3 linked regions of the Sus scrofa genome follow. The main gene of each other region encodes a partner of the protein of the gene in region 3 in a complex. Links are inferred from orthologs where the notes say so. Each region holds a gene or a part of one and is shown on either strand. Other genes may lie near its edges.

The links.
Region 1: CHD5 (region 3) and MTA2 share a complex: the UniProt entries of both Homo sapiens proteins name them as parts of the nucleosome remodeling and deacetylase (NuRD) repressor complex. The link is inferred for Sus scrofa from reciprocal best matches to the Homo sapiens genes CHD5 and MTA2.
Region 2: CHD5 (region 3) and MTA1 share a complex: the UniProt entries of both Homo sapiens proteins name them as parts of the nucleosome remodeling and deacetylase (NuRD) repressor complex. The link is inferred for Sus scrofa from reciprocal best matches to the Homo sapiens genes CHD5 and MTA1.

What each region holds. Positions count from the first base shown.
Region 1 is NC_010444.4:9,143,576-9,148,220, forward strand, and holds the end of MTA2 (metastasis-associated protein MTA2), read left to right. Parts: intron 1-96; coding exon 97-236; intron 237-496; coding exon 497-725; intron 726-895; coding exon 896-985; intron 986-1,964; coding exon 1,965-2,083; intron 2,084-2,188; coding exon 2,189-2,331; intron 2,332-2,552; coding exon 2,553-2,718; 3' UTR 2,719-3,391; downstream 3,392-4,645. UniProt on the Homo sapiens protein: May function as a transcriptional coregulator. Acts as a component of the histone deacetylase NuRD complex which participates in the remodeling of chromatin.
Region 2 is NW_018084979.1:3,477,475-3,482,294, forward strand, and holds part of MTA1 (metastasis-associated protein MTA1), read left to right. Parts: intron 1-1,364; coding exon 1,365-1,458; intron 1,459-2,623; coding exon of another isoform or gene 2,624-2,696; intron 2,697-3,934; coding exon 3,935-3,985; intron 3,986-4,455; coding exon 4,456-4,582; intron 4,583-4,650; coding exon 4,651-4,714; intron 4,715-4,820. UniProt on the Homo sapiens protein: Transcriptional coregulator which can act as both a transcriptional corepressor and coactivator. Acts as a component of the histone deacetylase NuRD complex which participates in the remodeling of chromatin.
Region 3 is NC_010448.4:67,048,183-67,053,002, forward strand, and holds part of CHD5 (chromodomain-helicase-DNA-binding protein 5), read right to left. Parts: intron 4,598-4,820; coding exon 4,460-4,597; intron 4,377-4,459; coding exon 4,255-4,376; intron 2,911-4,254; coding exon 2,737-2,910; intron 2,092-2,736; coding exon 1,950-2,091; intron 817-1,949; coding exon 685-816; intron 1-684. UniProt on the Homo sapiens protein: ATP-dependent chromatin-remodeling factor that binds DNA through histones and regulates gene transcription. May specifically recognize and bind trimethylated 'Lys-27' (H3K27me3) and non-methylated 'Lys-4' of histone H3.

The DNA of each region.
Region 1 (4,645 bases), on a different chromosome or scaffold from region 3:
TGCTGGGGTGAGTGGGCCGTTTTCTCTGACCCGGGAACCTGAGTGGCTCAAGTGGCACTTACCCCTGGCCATTCCCTCCTCTCCATGCTCCTGCAGCCACACAGTCTGCCCAGTGGTATGCCTGGGGCCCACCCAACATGCAGTGCCGCCTCTGTGCTTCCTGTTGGATCTACTGGAAGAAATACGGGGGACTGAAGACCCCAACCCAGCTTGAGGGGGCTGCTCGGGGCACCACAGTAAGGACGGATGGGGGACAGGTGGGAGAAAACCATAAGCTTATCAATGTGAGCTTTGGGCAAAGGCCAGAACGCCCAGCTCCAGTAAGGTGATGCTTTGGTTGGGGTGGGGGTGGATGGTACTTGCTAGTGGTTGGGGAGCCAGGTAGGTTGGCACAACCGCAAAGTGATCCGGCAGGAATAAAAGGCCCTCTGCAGAGAATAGAAGGGAGCCTGGGTGTCAGTCTGTGTTTTCTCCTTTTTCTATGTCCTTCTTCCAGGAGCCACACTCGAGAGGTCATTTGTCCAGACCTGAAGCCCAAAGTCTCTCTCCCTATACGACTAGCGCCAACCGGGCCAAGCTGCTGGCCAAGAACAGGCAAACATTCCTGCTCCAGACCACGAAGCTGACCCGTCTTGCCAGACGCATGTGCAGGGACCTGTTACAGCCGAGGAGGGCTGCCCGACGACCCTATGCCCCTATCAATGCCAATGCCATCAAGGCAGAGTGTAAGGGCAGCTTCAGGGTTTGTTCTGGCCGGAGGGCGTTCCTCTGGATATTTACTGACAGTAGGAATAGTGGCCCATAAGGATTTGTTGGGAACTTGGACACAGTTCCTGGCCCCAGAAGAGGCCTGAATAGTGAAGTCCCTTCAAAAGCTTTTGTCTTTGTTCTCCAGGCTCCATTCGACTTCCTAAGGCCGCCAAGACTCCACTGAAGATTCACCCTCTGGTGCGACTTCCCCTGGCAACTATTGTGAAAGATTTGGGTAAGGGATGGGGAACTGGACTGCGGTACAGGTGGTATAGGATGGGGAGGCTCTTAGGGTGGTGGCTGCCTTTCAGTCCTTTTATTATCAAGACCTATCTCTTCCCCTACGGCATATGGAGGTTCCCAGACTAGGGGTCTAATCAGAGCTATAGCTGCCGGCCGATGCCGCAGCCACAGCAACGCGGGATCCGAGCTGCGTCTGCGACCCACACCACAGCTCACGGCAACGCCGGATCCTTAACCTACTGAGCAAGGCCAGGGATCGAACCTATGTCCTCATGGATGTTAGTCGGGCTCTTTACTGCTGAGCCACAATGAGAACTCCTGAAGTGTTTTTTTTTTTTTTTTTCATGGAGTTTCCTGGCGGGTCACTGGCATTGTCACTGCTGTGGCTCTGGTCACTGCTTTGGCTTGGGTTTGATACCTGTATTGAGAATTTCTTTTTTTTTTTTTTTTTTTTTTTTTTTGTTGTTGTTGTTGTTGTTGCTATTTCTTGGGCCACTCCCACGGCATATGGAGGTTCCCAGGCTAGGGGTTGAATCGGAGCTGTAGCCACCGGCCTACACCAGAGCCACAGCAACGCGGGATCCGAGCCGCGTCTGCGACCTACACCACAGCCCACGGCAACGCTGGATCGTTAACCCACTGAGCAAGGGCAGGGACCGAACCCGCAACCTCATGGTTCCTAGTCGGATTCGTTAACCACTGCGCCACGACGGGAACTCCCTGTATTGAGAATTTCTAAATGCCATGGGTGCATCCAAAAAAAAAAAAGTTTTTATCATAAGCTATTCAGTAAACTGTGCACTGATTGATAAGATCACACTCATGTTTGACTTTTGAAATGCTGGTAATCGCTTGCCAGCCCCCTCCCCCATCACTCCTTTTAGGAATGCCCAGGGAAGATGCATAGAAAAGAGGGAGTGTGAAAGTTCTCTCAGGTTTCCTTTATTTATCTATTTGTTTTTCCCTGACAGTGGCCCAGGCACCTCTGAAACCAAAAACACCTCGGGGTACCAAGACACCAATCAATAGGAACCAGCTGACCCAGAATCGGGGGCTGGGGAGCATTATGGTGAAACGGGCCTATGAGACTGTGAGTTGACAGACTGGAGTGGGTCACGTTGAGTTAGATGGGTGTTTATTTCTGATGGGCGTCTGAGAGTCCCCCTTCTCATTACGCTGCCCTACCCTTTTCCAGATGGCAGGAGTCCCCTTCTCTGCCAATGGAAGGCCTCTGGCTTCAGGGATTCGCTCAAGCTCACAGCCAGCAACCAAGCGTCAGAAACTAAACCCAGCTGACGCCCCCAATCCTGTGGTGTTTGTGGCCACAAAAGACACCAGGTGGGGAGCCCAGCATGGGAGGGGCTGAGAGGTTGACCACCCAGCCTGGTGGGTGTGGGAAATAGGAGTATCTGAGCAAGACCAACTCCAGGGAGACCCTGGCTGCAGGGTGGCCGTGCTAGGAAGGAAGGGGCTGGAGATGGGGGATTGCAGTGTGGAATGTGGGGTTTCAGCCTGAAGGTCTTTGCCTTCTCCCTTGTCCCCCTTTCCTTCCTGACCAGAGCCCTGCGGAAGGCTCTGACCCACCTGGAGATGCGGCGAGCTGCCCGCCGGCCCAACTTGCCTCTGAAGGTGAAGCCACCGCTGATTACAGTGCGGGCTCCAGTCTCTCTTCCTCCATCCGCACATCCTGCCAGCACCAATGAGCCCATTGTCCTGGAAGACTGAGCATCTGTGGGGCAGGGAGGAGGGCTGAAAGCTAGAGGGTGGGTGCACCGGGCACCTAGCCTCCCTTCCCTCTAGTGTCAAAGGGAATGAGGAGTGCGGGAGGGAGGGAGCAAGTGAGTGTGTCCTTGGAGGGGATGGGCGCCCTCTGGTGTTACTACTTGGAGGCTTGTCCCCTTCCGGTGCTTCTCCATGCCTGGTGATGGAGGGCAAACTGCAGGAACTTGGCCCATTGTGGGAACCTAGCCTGTTTTGGGGGTAGGGCCCACAGTTGTCTTGGATAGTTTTTGGGGGGAGGGTTTTTTAATTTTTTAAAAATTTTGCCTCCCTTTGTGAAAGGGGATGGGAGAGGGGAAGAGTAAGCAGATATCAGGTGGTATCTGGTTGGGGGAGGGGGGCGTGCACTGCCATTACTGCCATGTCTATCTTTTTTTTCTCCTTTTTTCTAACTGGGGGTTCCTCTTCCTGTCCGGTGTCCGGACTTTCCCAATCGGAGTTTGAGGCCCCTAAGCTGGTATCAACCCCAGCCTATGCTCGCTCTTTCCTTCCCTCTCCTTGCCCCCTCTGCCTTTTGTACGCCAATTCTCAGAAATAAAGATCTTTTGTCCGTTTTTTTAACCTCGGATTCTGTAATTGGTTCTTATAGTAACAAATAAAAAGCTGTTTTCTTCAGCTCCTCCTGGCTCAGCTATTCTCTGCTGTGTGTGTGTGTGTGTGTGTGTGTGTGTGTGTGTGTGTGTGTGGTATCTTTGGGAAAATAAAGGACAAAGGACAATAGAGGAGGTATAGATGGGGGCTTGCCTGGGGTAGAGCTTTATGAGATACACAGCCTGGGACAGGTGGCCTGTTCCATCTTGCTTTCCTGTGGGACCCACACTGCTCCCCAGCTCTCTGTGGTACTGGAGCCAGAGTATCATCTTGGCTGAGATTCACTCAAACCCGTTGAGATGAGCTGGTTCTCAGAATGACTGGTGGCTTCCATAGGAGTGTGAGTGTGTGAAGGTGCTTCTTTATTTCCCAACTTTTAAACTCCTCTCTCCCTTTTACTTGGGGAATTCTGGGAGTTGCGAGGTTGGAGCAAGATGTAGTCCACCTCGGGGGGTGATGTAGGGTCATACCACCTAATGCTGGTGTATTCGCACAGACTGCTGTTGCAAGATCTCCAAGGCCAGCAACTGCTTTGATATTGGGGTCCACTCTAGTGCCATTTCCTCCCTTTTTAGGTTTGGGAGACAGATGAGACGCCTGAGCTAGTCCCGACAGGAGGAGCACCTCAGGAGAGAGAACAACAAATTAAATCTATTGTGTGCTCCTTGAGCACTTTCTTTAGAGATGAGAAACAACCTCAGCATTTGTGACTTGCTCAAGGCTAAAGACCTGGAGATGTTTACCTTAGGTCCTCTTTACACAGTCCAAAGTTGTGGGTTGGTCAACAACAGCAAGAGTTGCCTAGCCCAGTTGAGAGGCCCCTCCATCTCGTCCCTGTCCCAAGGGTGTCCCCAGCTCCCTTACTCTCCCTGGCCTGAGCAGCACCTCCGGAGTTTGGGAGGAATTGACCACTGTAACAGTCTGGAGGAGGCCAGCACCCTCCAATGTCTTTACTCAGTTGCCACCGTAGTAGTTTCTGCCGCATGCCTTGAAGTGGGCCGGTGGCTCTGGCGCCTGATGAATACACTCCATGCAGCCCGCTGTCGCGGAATAAAGGCCATCTGGCTGTGGCCCCCCTGAAGTCCAAAAGGTGTCCGGTGTGGTTAGGGCTCCCGGCCAGGGCTGGGAAGCCGTCGCAGAACACACTTTCTGGGAGAAGACCGACAGCAGAGGAAAAGAGTAACAGCCCGAGGAGGTTGAGAGCTTAGGGACAGCCAGGGTATCCTGGAGATGAAGGATCCGCCTTTATTCACCAGGTAAATAGGGGGTTGCGGATACAGTC
Region 2 (4,820 bases), on a different chromosome or scaffold from region 3:
CTTAGAGGTCATTTTGTCTAGTGTTGTAAATGCTGCTGTACTAGCTTCTACGAAGATAAGAGTGGTGATATAACCTTTGCATCATTATTAAAAACTTCGTAACACTGGTTAGTTTAAAAGAGACACAATTGGGAGTTCCCGCTGTGGCTCAGCAGTTAACGAATCTGACTAGCATCCATGAAGGTGCAGGGTCGATCCCTGGCCTTGCTCAGTGGGTTAAGGATCCGGTGTTGCCATGAGCTGTGGTGTAGGTGGCAGACATGACTCGGCTCTGGCGTGGCTGTGGCTATGGTGCAGGCCGGCAGCTGCAGCTCCATGTCGACCCCTACCCTGGGAACCTCCATGTGCAGCCCTTAAAAAAAACAAAAAAAAAAGATGCAATTGGCCCCAGTCACTGGGCCACTGGCCAGCGCCCCCCTCGCCCGCCTTCCTGCCCCCAGAGAGGAGTCAGCGCCTGCATCCGTCTGCCCTCTGCTCTTCCAGCCTTTGCTGATGACCCGCTTCCTGCCGCCCCGAGGGTTGACTTAGCAGAGAAGAAACGGCAGGGGAGCCTTCTCTTCCCTGGGGTCGCTGACTGTCACGAGGCAGGGGACTAGGGGAGGCATCCGAGGGGAAATTCGCCCCCAGAGGTTCTGTGATGAGCCTCCAGAGTTTGGAGAGGTCATTCAGTACAGGGTGACCAGCCAGGGATGCGTGCTGGGCCCCGAGGGGCTGGGCTGGCCGGGACGACCCGCTGGGGGTTCCTGGGGGTTCCGTGCTTCCGGCTCACTGACGCTCGGGTGAGGGTTTCCTGGCAGCGAAGAGAGTTTCCCTTCTGCCCCTTGCCAGGCGTTTAGGACCCCATAGCCTGTAGAAGGCACACCCGTTGGGGTCTGCGTTCCACTTGGACCTGTGGGACTCCTTCACGCAGTAAACCGAAAAGAGCCCCTGCGATAAGCTAAGGGCAAAGGAGAGCAGACGTGCTTGCCCCGGAGGGTCTTCCCCGCGGGGGGTCTTCCCCGCAGGCTTGCTCAGTGGCCCTGCTGCCTCTCGGTCTCCATCCTTCTCACACTCCGGGCAACCCCTCCAGTGTCTGGACATCTGCCCTGTCCTGTGCCAGGCTGCCTGCCATCGGGGTTGTGGATCCAGGTTGCAGGGCGGCCCCTGGGCCAGGGCAGAGCCGGCTCTGGCCAAAGCCTCGTCACAGGCGTCCTTTCTGGTGGCCCGGGGTTCCCCTGGTGTCCACAGGGGGCACCGGACGGAGGTGGGCGCAGGGCGGGCTTAGGTCCCGTGTGCCTCCCCCACCCGCGAGGCCCTGCCGCAGCGGCCCTGCTGGAGCGGAGCCCGGGGGCGGGCGGCGCTCAGACCCTGCCTTGCTCTTGCAGACGGCCAGCGGGAACGTGGAGGCCAAGGTGGTGTGCTTCTACCGGAGGCGGGACATCTCCAGCTCCCTCGTCGCCCTGGCCGACAAGCATGCCAGTGAGTGCCGGCCCGCCCGTCCCCCGGAAGTCACCGGCTGTGCGCGCTTGGGGGCACTGCTGGCATCAGTCCCCTGAGAAGTTTCTCGCTTCAAGATGGATTTGGGGGCCTTCTCAAATCCTTGGCTGGTGCTGCCCTGCGCCACGGCGGGGTCCACGGGGTGTGTGCGTCCGGTCCAGGGAGCAGTCACTTCTCTGCTGACCCCGTCTGGCCCCCCGGGAGGATGGGTTCCCCGTGAGGCCTCCCACCTTGGGGTTTTGGCCTGTGTGCGCTTGTGCGGCCCGCTGCATCAGCGGCGTCCCCGTGGTACGCGTGACTCTGTGTCCACTGGTGGACCATGATGCTGTGCCCAGAGCGGCCACCTTAGAGGTGGGACCCAGTGGCCGCTTGGTGGCCTCTGGTGCCGAGGCAAAGAGCCAGGTCCCTTGGGGTACAGTGCTGCGCATCCCAGAGGCGCGGTCCGTGTGGGCGCGGGCCCCGCCCTGCAGGTGACCCGTGTTGGCTCATGTTCTTGCTGTCAGAACCCTGGCGGTGGCCCTGGGGCGGGACTGCAGGGCCACGGACCTGCTGGCGACTTGGGGTGAGGATGACCATGGGCCTCCTTCCCTGTGTCTGGGGCCAGCTCTGTGCTCTCAGGCGCCGGAGCTCAGCCAGGAGCCAGCAGGGCTCTGGGGGGAGCGTGGCCGGGGAGACCGCAGGAGCAGCAGCTTCTCCAGAAGCGCTGAGTTGGCGGCAGAGGCCCCCAGGCGCTGGTGGGGCTCCCGTGCGCATGTGACGTCCCTCGCCAGGGACCGAAGGCCACGCGGTGGGGACATGTGTCGTGCACGTGGCACGTGCCGCTCTGGGGAGGTGGCCGGCTTGCCCGGCCCAGCATAGGCCCTGTGTTCTCGGAGCCGTGTCCGTTCGGGCCGCCCTGTCCCGCAGTGATTTCTGCAGGAACCGCGAGCTCATCAGCCCCCTGCCAGCGTCTGCTGGGGTGGGGGGATGCCCCCTGCGAGGTCAGAGCGGCTGCTCCAGTCTCGTCTGGGCCCGCAGCCCCCGTCCTTCCCCTGCCAGGGTGTCCAGCCCCAGAGCAGTTGCCCTGGAGAAGCCCTTACTAGGGTGTCCAGGCCAGTGTGCTCCCCACGGCCCCTGCTCGAAGTGTGTCTCCCCGCCACGCACACAGAGCTGTTGTCCTGAGAGTGAGACCTTGCCCGAGGGAGCAGCGGCACAGATTGCAGCCCCCCGGACCCCCTGGGGTGAGCTGCAGGGCCTGGGAGAGTCAGCAGGGTGTCAGCCCTGCTGGGCGGGTGGGAGCAGAGTCTGCCTGCGCCTTGGGGGTGGGCCCCCAGCTCTGAGCCCAGGGCCAGGGCACGCCAGATTCCAGAGGGAGGGGCTTTTGTGCCAGGGACCACCTGCCCCTGGGTTCTTAGAGGCCGAGTGCCGCGGCCCATGCGTGCTCACAGGTCTGCTGGGGACGGGGCTCGGGGCTGTCCTGGTCAGGGAGCTGGACGCTGTCCTGGCCCCAGCTCTGGCCACCCTGAGGCTGTACGCACGGCCCTGGGACCTGCTGACGGCAGGGAGCCCTGGTGGGCTGGGGCCTCGGAGCCACTGTGAGCCTGTGTCAGGGTGGGACAGGGCAGGGTCTGCAGGCCTAAAGCGGGTGTCCAGGGGCCCTGGGCTGGCAGGCCCCCGGCAGAGGAGCCAGCCCAGGCTGGCTGCGAGCATGTTAGGGTGCGGGGCTGCTGGGCCGGCGTCGGACACTGGGCGTGTCCTCCGTGGGGATGCACTGGGATCCGGGTGGGGGGTGGCAGCCATGTCGGGGCTCGGGTGTCTGGCCTGGTCCCAGTCTGAGCTGCAGGCACCGGGTGGGGGGTGCGGCTCCCCTGCCCACTGGCACGAGGACTCCCCGAAGCCGCCTCCGGGGGGCAGCAGAGGGCTGCGGCCCGGCTGGTGGCCCAGGGCCCCAGGGCTGGGGACTGGCTGGGGAGGGCTTGCCATGCCCCCACCTTTGGGCTTTGGGGCAGAGGATGGGGTTCAGCTGTGTCTGGCTTCCCCTCAACTCCTGCACGGCCGCAGACTCCACTGTGCCTCGAGGGCACCCAGCTCCCGTGGCCAGGCTCTCCCTGTGGCTGAGGCCGCAGGCAGTGAGTTTGCGTGGGTGACCTGCCTCGGTGGCTGAGACGCACCCCCGCCCAGTCCGTGCTCTGAGGCGTGTCTGGCTGCCCCAGCTCTGAGGGGCAGGTGTGTTCTATGTGCAGGGAGGGAGGGGGTGCCACCCAGGCTCACAGAGTCTCAGGCAGCAGGGCGTTGGGGTGGGCGGGGGGCCAAGCCTGGCTGGCTGGGCTGTCCAGAGGCCCAGGTGTTCTCTGGTTTCGGCTGGGTGGTCTGCGGCCCCCTTGTCCACCCTGCCTCCCAGCTTTGCAGCCCTCGGTCCAGGCCGGGCAGGGAGTGGGCAGCTAACCCGCCGTCTGGACGCTGTCTGTCTGTTGTATAGCCCTGTCAGTCTGCTATAAAACCGGACCGGGGGCCGACAACGGCGAGGAAGGTAAGAGCCACCCTCAGCCAGAGGGTCCTGGCGTCTGTGCGCCGGCCGCCTGCATGCCCGTCCCTGCGTTCCCTGCCATGAGGCGGCCCGAGGAGGGGCCTGCGCTCTGCAGCTTGGCTCCGAGGGGCCGGGAGGCTCCAGGCAAGGTGTGCGGTGGGCCTTGGGCCCAGGCCGTGGGGTCTCTGCCCTTCTGGACGTGTAGCACCGGCTCTCTTGTTCTCCTCCTCCTGCCCGCTGCTTCCCGGGCCAGCGGAAGCGCAGTGCTCCTTCCTGCTCAGATGCCCGGGGCTCCAGGGCTTTGGGCCCCGTGGGGTGGCTGGGCTGCAACGGGCGCACTGGCACCAGCATGTCTGCCGGGGCCCTGCGGGGACCTCCCCTGCCATCCCCCTGGGTCCAGCAGGGGGTGGTGTCCGTGAAGCCGGCGGGCGGGCCTTTGTCCAGTGGCCCGAGTGTGTGTCTCTGTCCTTCAGGAGAGGTAGAGGAGGAGGTGGAGAACCCGGAAATGGTAGACCTGCCCGAGAAGCTCAAGCACCAGCTGAGGCATCGGGAGCTGTTCCTCTCGAGGCAGCTGGAGTCCCTGCCTGCCACCCACATCAGGTACCCGGAGGCCCCGGGCGGGCGGGAGGCTCTGCCCGCCGCCGCTGACGCGCGTGCTTCTCTTACAGAGGGAAGTGCAGCGTCACTTTGCTCAACGAGACCGAGTCCCTCAAGTCCTACCTGGAGCGGGAGGTGAGGCCCCGACCCTGCGGGCTCGCGCGTCCTGGGGGGCGGAGGCAGAGGCTGGGCACTGGCCTCCACCCGTCTCCGTGGAGACCGCTGCTCCCGGCTCACCTTG
Region 3 (4,820 bases):
GCTCAGCCCCACCATCCAGCAGCATTTTTTGCACCAAGCCCCCAGGACCATCACCAACCTTCATCACAGAGATGGCCTTGGGATTAGATAACTGTCAATACCTCCATCTTCCACATTAGACTATGAGGGTCTCGAGAACAAGAGCTGGACCCTCATGCCTAGCACAGAGCCTGATGTATGACAGATGCGAAAGGATGAAGGAACAACCAGTGCGCAGACGAACAAGGCTCTGAGACTGGACAGCTCTGCCTCTGACTGCCCCAAAAGCAATGCTGCAAGTGCAACTTCAGGATCCAGCTGGGGACCCTCTCAGCTACGCCCCCTGCGGGGCTCCTCCTGAACCAACCTCCAGGAGACGCTGGGCTACAGAAGCGAGGGGCAAGGGGCGAAGGGCGAGGGCCTATCATCCCAGCCAGGACAGGAAGCTCCAGGAGGAGCAGGCCAGAAGCAGCAGGTGATGGGCAGGCCTCTGGTGCTCATCACCCACATACCTTAAGCATCTTGAACTTGAACCAGACAGCAGGTCCCCTTGGCCGCGTAAGGCTAGGGCCCAGAGGAGTGACTTTTGACACTCAATCCACATGAGGATGGCATTGGGCCCTGAGGGCTGCTGGCAGGTTGTGCCCTCAGCTGGCAGGGGGCTGGATGGCCTTGCAGGGGTGAGGTGGGGCAGGGGCGGCTCACCTGGGAGAAGATGAGCACACGGTGCCCTTCGTCCCGCAGCTTCTTGAGCATCTTCTGCAGCAGCATCAGCTTCCCTGAAGACTTGACCAGCGAGCTGCCATCATAGGAGCCGTTGGGCAGGACGGGGGCCTCCTGCGGACACGGCAGGAGGTGGGGCTTTTGGGGCTCCCCTCTCCTCTCTGGCTCTGCACCAAAGAGGCCCCAGGGGCTGGACAAGCGCCCAGCAACAGGCTGAGCACCAAGCCCAAGCCTCTCCCAGCCCCAGGTTCCCAGGAGGGCTCAGACTTGCCAGCCCTGCCCTCCATCGCCCCCTGCTGGCACCCCACCAAGACCACCGACATCAGTGACAGATAGATGACAGTCTGGAGCCAAGTGGCCTTCCCAGCAGGAATCTGGCCTGGCCTCTGCAGTCACTGTAGGGCACAGCCGGGCAAAGCCAACCTGGACCCCAGCTGGGCAGAACCTCAGCCCAAAGGCTGCTGCCCGGCCAGGGTCACGAGAGTGGCCTGGAGTTGCCCAAGTGTGGACCACCTGCAGCACGGCCTCCACACCTACCTCTGCACATTGATCTGTTTTTTGGGGGGCAGGGGGAGGCCTGGGGGTGGTGGAGGGAGGTACAGAAAATGAAGGGTTGAAGTTAGAACCAGAACAGCAGTGACTGCGCCCTCTCCTTAAAGCGCCTTATATGAACTTCCTCGCCTGGTCCTCAGCCCTTGCAGGTGGATGCCGTTAGGGTCCCCGTTTTACAGACAAAAAACCTGGGGCTCTGAGAGGACCAGTGATTGTCCTGATACCACAGGGCTGGAGCTGAGGGTCTGGTCTCTCACCCAGGGCTGCACGTCAGCGTCACCCGGGGGCCCCACCCAACCCCTCCCGACTCCCTTGGCAACTGAGTTCGGCCACGTCAGCCCTTGGAATCCCTGACACTGAGGCTGGAGGGGACCCGGTGACCCAAAGCCCCCATTACTTTGTAGGCACAAGGAGGCGCCGAGGGAAGGAGAGGGCCTGCCTGAGCAGAAACTTCTGGCACCGTGGGGAGCCACATCACTTCCAAGTCCTCATATTTGGGGAGGATTGGGGGCTGAAGGCCTGAGCACCAGCCACAGCAGCCAGGAGCACCATGGCAGCCAATGCCACCTGCAGGAAGGGCCCAGAAAAGCCACCACAGCAGCCACAAGCCCCTCCACGGTCTCAGGCCCCTGCCATGGGGGACTCGGCCAAGGGCAGCCATCACGGTGGCCACGGCAGCAGCCACGGGGACCTACCACAGCGGCCACGGGGAAGAGGTAGGGGTGGTTGCAACACTTCTTCAGGTCCATCATGATGTTGAGCAGCGACACCTGGTTCCCGCCCCCCTTGGAGTTCAGCGCCTCGAAGTTTCGCGTGAGGATGAACTTGTAGTACTTCCTGTGGCAGAGGAAGGAGAGCCGGGCTGGACACCTGGCCGCACCTGCCTCCACGAGGGCGCTCTGCTCCATGGGGAGGCAGGGGCTGGTGGCCGAGCGCCCAGCTCCAGACAGACGCGGGGAGCCCCGAGAGGTGAAGCTGCGGGCCTGGCCCAGCGAGGTACTGTGGGACCACGCGAGGACTGGGGTGGCCCCAAGCCTGGTCCCTGGACCTTGACCAGAGGTCCCCAAGAAGGAAGCAGAAGTGAAAGGTGGAGTTCCCGTCGTGGCGCAGTGGTTAATGAATCCGACTAGGAACCATGAGATGGCGGGTTCGGTCCCTGCCCTTGCTCAGTGGGTTAAGGATCCGGCGTTGCCATGAGCTGTGGTGTAGGTCACAGACACGGCTCGGATCCTGCATTGCTGTGGCTGTGGTGTAGGCCGGCAGTTGCAGCTCCGATTCGACCCCTAGCCTGGGAACCTCCATATGCCGCAGGAGTGGCCCAAGAAATAGCAAAAAGACGAAAAAAAAAAAAGTGAAAGGTGACATGAGGTCTCTGTGGGTCCCAAAGGCCCTCCCACCCACCCTGGGCAGCGGCCCAGGAAGGCCAGGTCAGGCCCCTCCAGGAGGGGAGACAGCCGGGGGACCCCGGGGCAGGCTGCTCACTTCTGCATCTGGCTCAGCTCCACGCGGACGATCAGCTCCGTCTTGGCCGGCATGTTCTTGAACACGTCAGCCTTGAGCCGCCTCAGCATGTGCGGGCCCAGCAGGTCATGCAGCTTCTTGATCTGGTCTTCCTTGGAGATGTCGGCAAACTCCTCCAGGAAGCCCTCCAGGTTGCTGCCAGAAAGAGCTGGGATGAGAGCCCGGGAACCGGCCAACGCCCTCTGTAGAGGGAGCCAGGTCCCTACCACCTGCCAGAGGGTCACAGGAGCAGCCAACTGGCTGGTGGGCCAAGAAGCCCTGGCCCTGCCCCAGGTGTTCTTTCAGTCTCAGCCTGTGTCACCCCCACATATCACAGCTGTCTCAGGATACCTGCCCGGCCTCAGAGCTGTCCTGGACATGTGTCTGTGGGACTCCTGCCCAGATCACAGATAAAGAAACTGAGGCTCATGGGAGCCCAAGTTCCTCAGTGCAACCTGCCCTCTAACCTACATCTCCTGAGGCCAAAATCAGCACTCTCCACCCTGAATCCCGCCCCCCTTTCTTTTTCTGTCTTCCTTTCTTGCTTGCTTGCTTTCTTCCGTGTCTTTTAGGGCTGCACCCGCGGCATATGGAGGTTCCCAGGCTAGGGGTCCAATCAGAGCTACAGCTGCCGGCCTATGTCACAGCCACAGCAATGCAGGATCTGAGCCGCATCTGCAATCTACACCACAGCTCACAGCAACACCAGATCTTTAATCCACTGAGCGAGGCCAGGGATCAAACCTGCATCTTCATGGATACTAGTCAGGTTCATTACCACTAAGCAACAGAGGGAACTCCCATCTTTTTCTCCTTTTTAGGGCCGCATCTGCAGCAGCATATGGAAGTTCAAGGCGAGGTGTCGAATCAGAACTGCAGCTGCTGGCCTACACCGCAGCCACAGCAACGCCCGATCTGAGCCGCATCTGTGACCTACACGGCAGCTCGCAGCAATGCCAGATCCTTAACCCATGGAGTGAAGCCAGGGTTGGAACCCACGTCGTCACAGACACTGCATCGGGGTCTTAACCCGCTGTGCCACAATGCTCACTCCCTGAATCCCCTCTCTGAGCAGGAAAATGGGGGGAGGAAAGGACAGGCAGCCGGGGGCTCTGACTTCACCCCCAGCCCCACCACCTCCACCCCAGCTTCAGCCTCCATCACCGTCGCCCATGTGGTAACTTAGGCCACTGTGGGGGGAAAGGAAGGAGCCAGGGATGTGGGGGCAGGGAAGGAACCCAGGAGGACCCTAGGGTCTTCTGGGGACAGAGCCGAGGAGAAATCACAGCGTTAGCAGCAGGCGACAATTCCCAGGCATGAGGCACCAGCCAATGTGAAGCCCCCTCCCGTCTAGATCATTTGAGGTGGGCGCTGCTGCCGTCTCATTTTACAGACGAGGAGACTGAGGCCCGGCGAGCAGCCCCAGAGCCAGGACGGGCACTGACCCCCCTTCCCTGGCTGCCCCCCGCCTCGTCTCCCCAGCCGGCCCCCCAGGCTCACTTGAACCTCTCCGGCGTCAGGAAGTTGAGAAGATGGAACAGCTCCTCCAGGTTGTTCTGAAGGGGGGTCCCCGTCAGCAGCAGCTTGTAATCGATCTTGTAGCTGTTCAGGACCCTAAAGAACTTGGGGGTGACAGAGAGACGTGAGGGGGCTGGGCGGCCGGCCGCCCCAGCGGCTCCGGGGGCCAGCGGTCAGCGCCTCCTACCTTGGACTGGTTGTTCTTGAGCCGGTGGGCCTCATCCACCACGAGGCAGGCCCACTCGATGGAGCCCAGGATGGCCTGGTCAATGGTGATGAGCTCGTAGGAGGTGAGCAGGACGTGGAACTTGATCTGCACTTCTTTCTGGAAGGAAGGGGGGGCATGGGGGAGGACCGCTGGGAGGGCAGCCGATCGAGGTCTCCAGAGACAACGGGGCGAGGAGCAGGGGGCACAGGACCCCCCACCGGGAAGGACAGAGGGCGAGACATGGGCCATCAGGCACAGGGGTCAGCTGAGGCCCAGAGCACCGACCTCGAGCTGGGGGGAAGGGGTCAGAGGGGCTGAGCGGAGTCTGGAGGCGGCACGG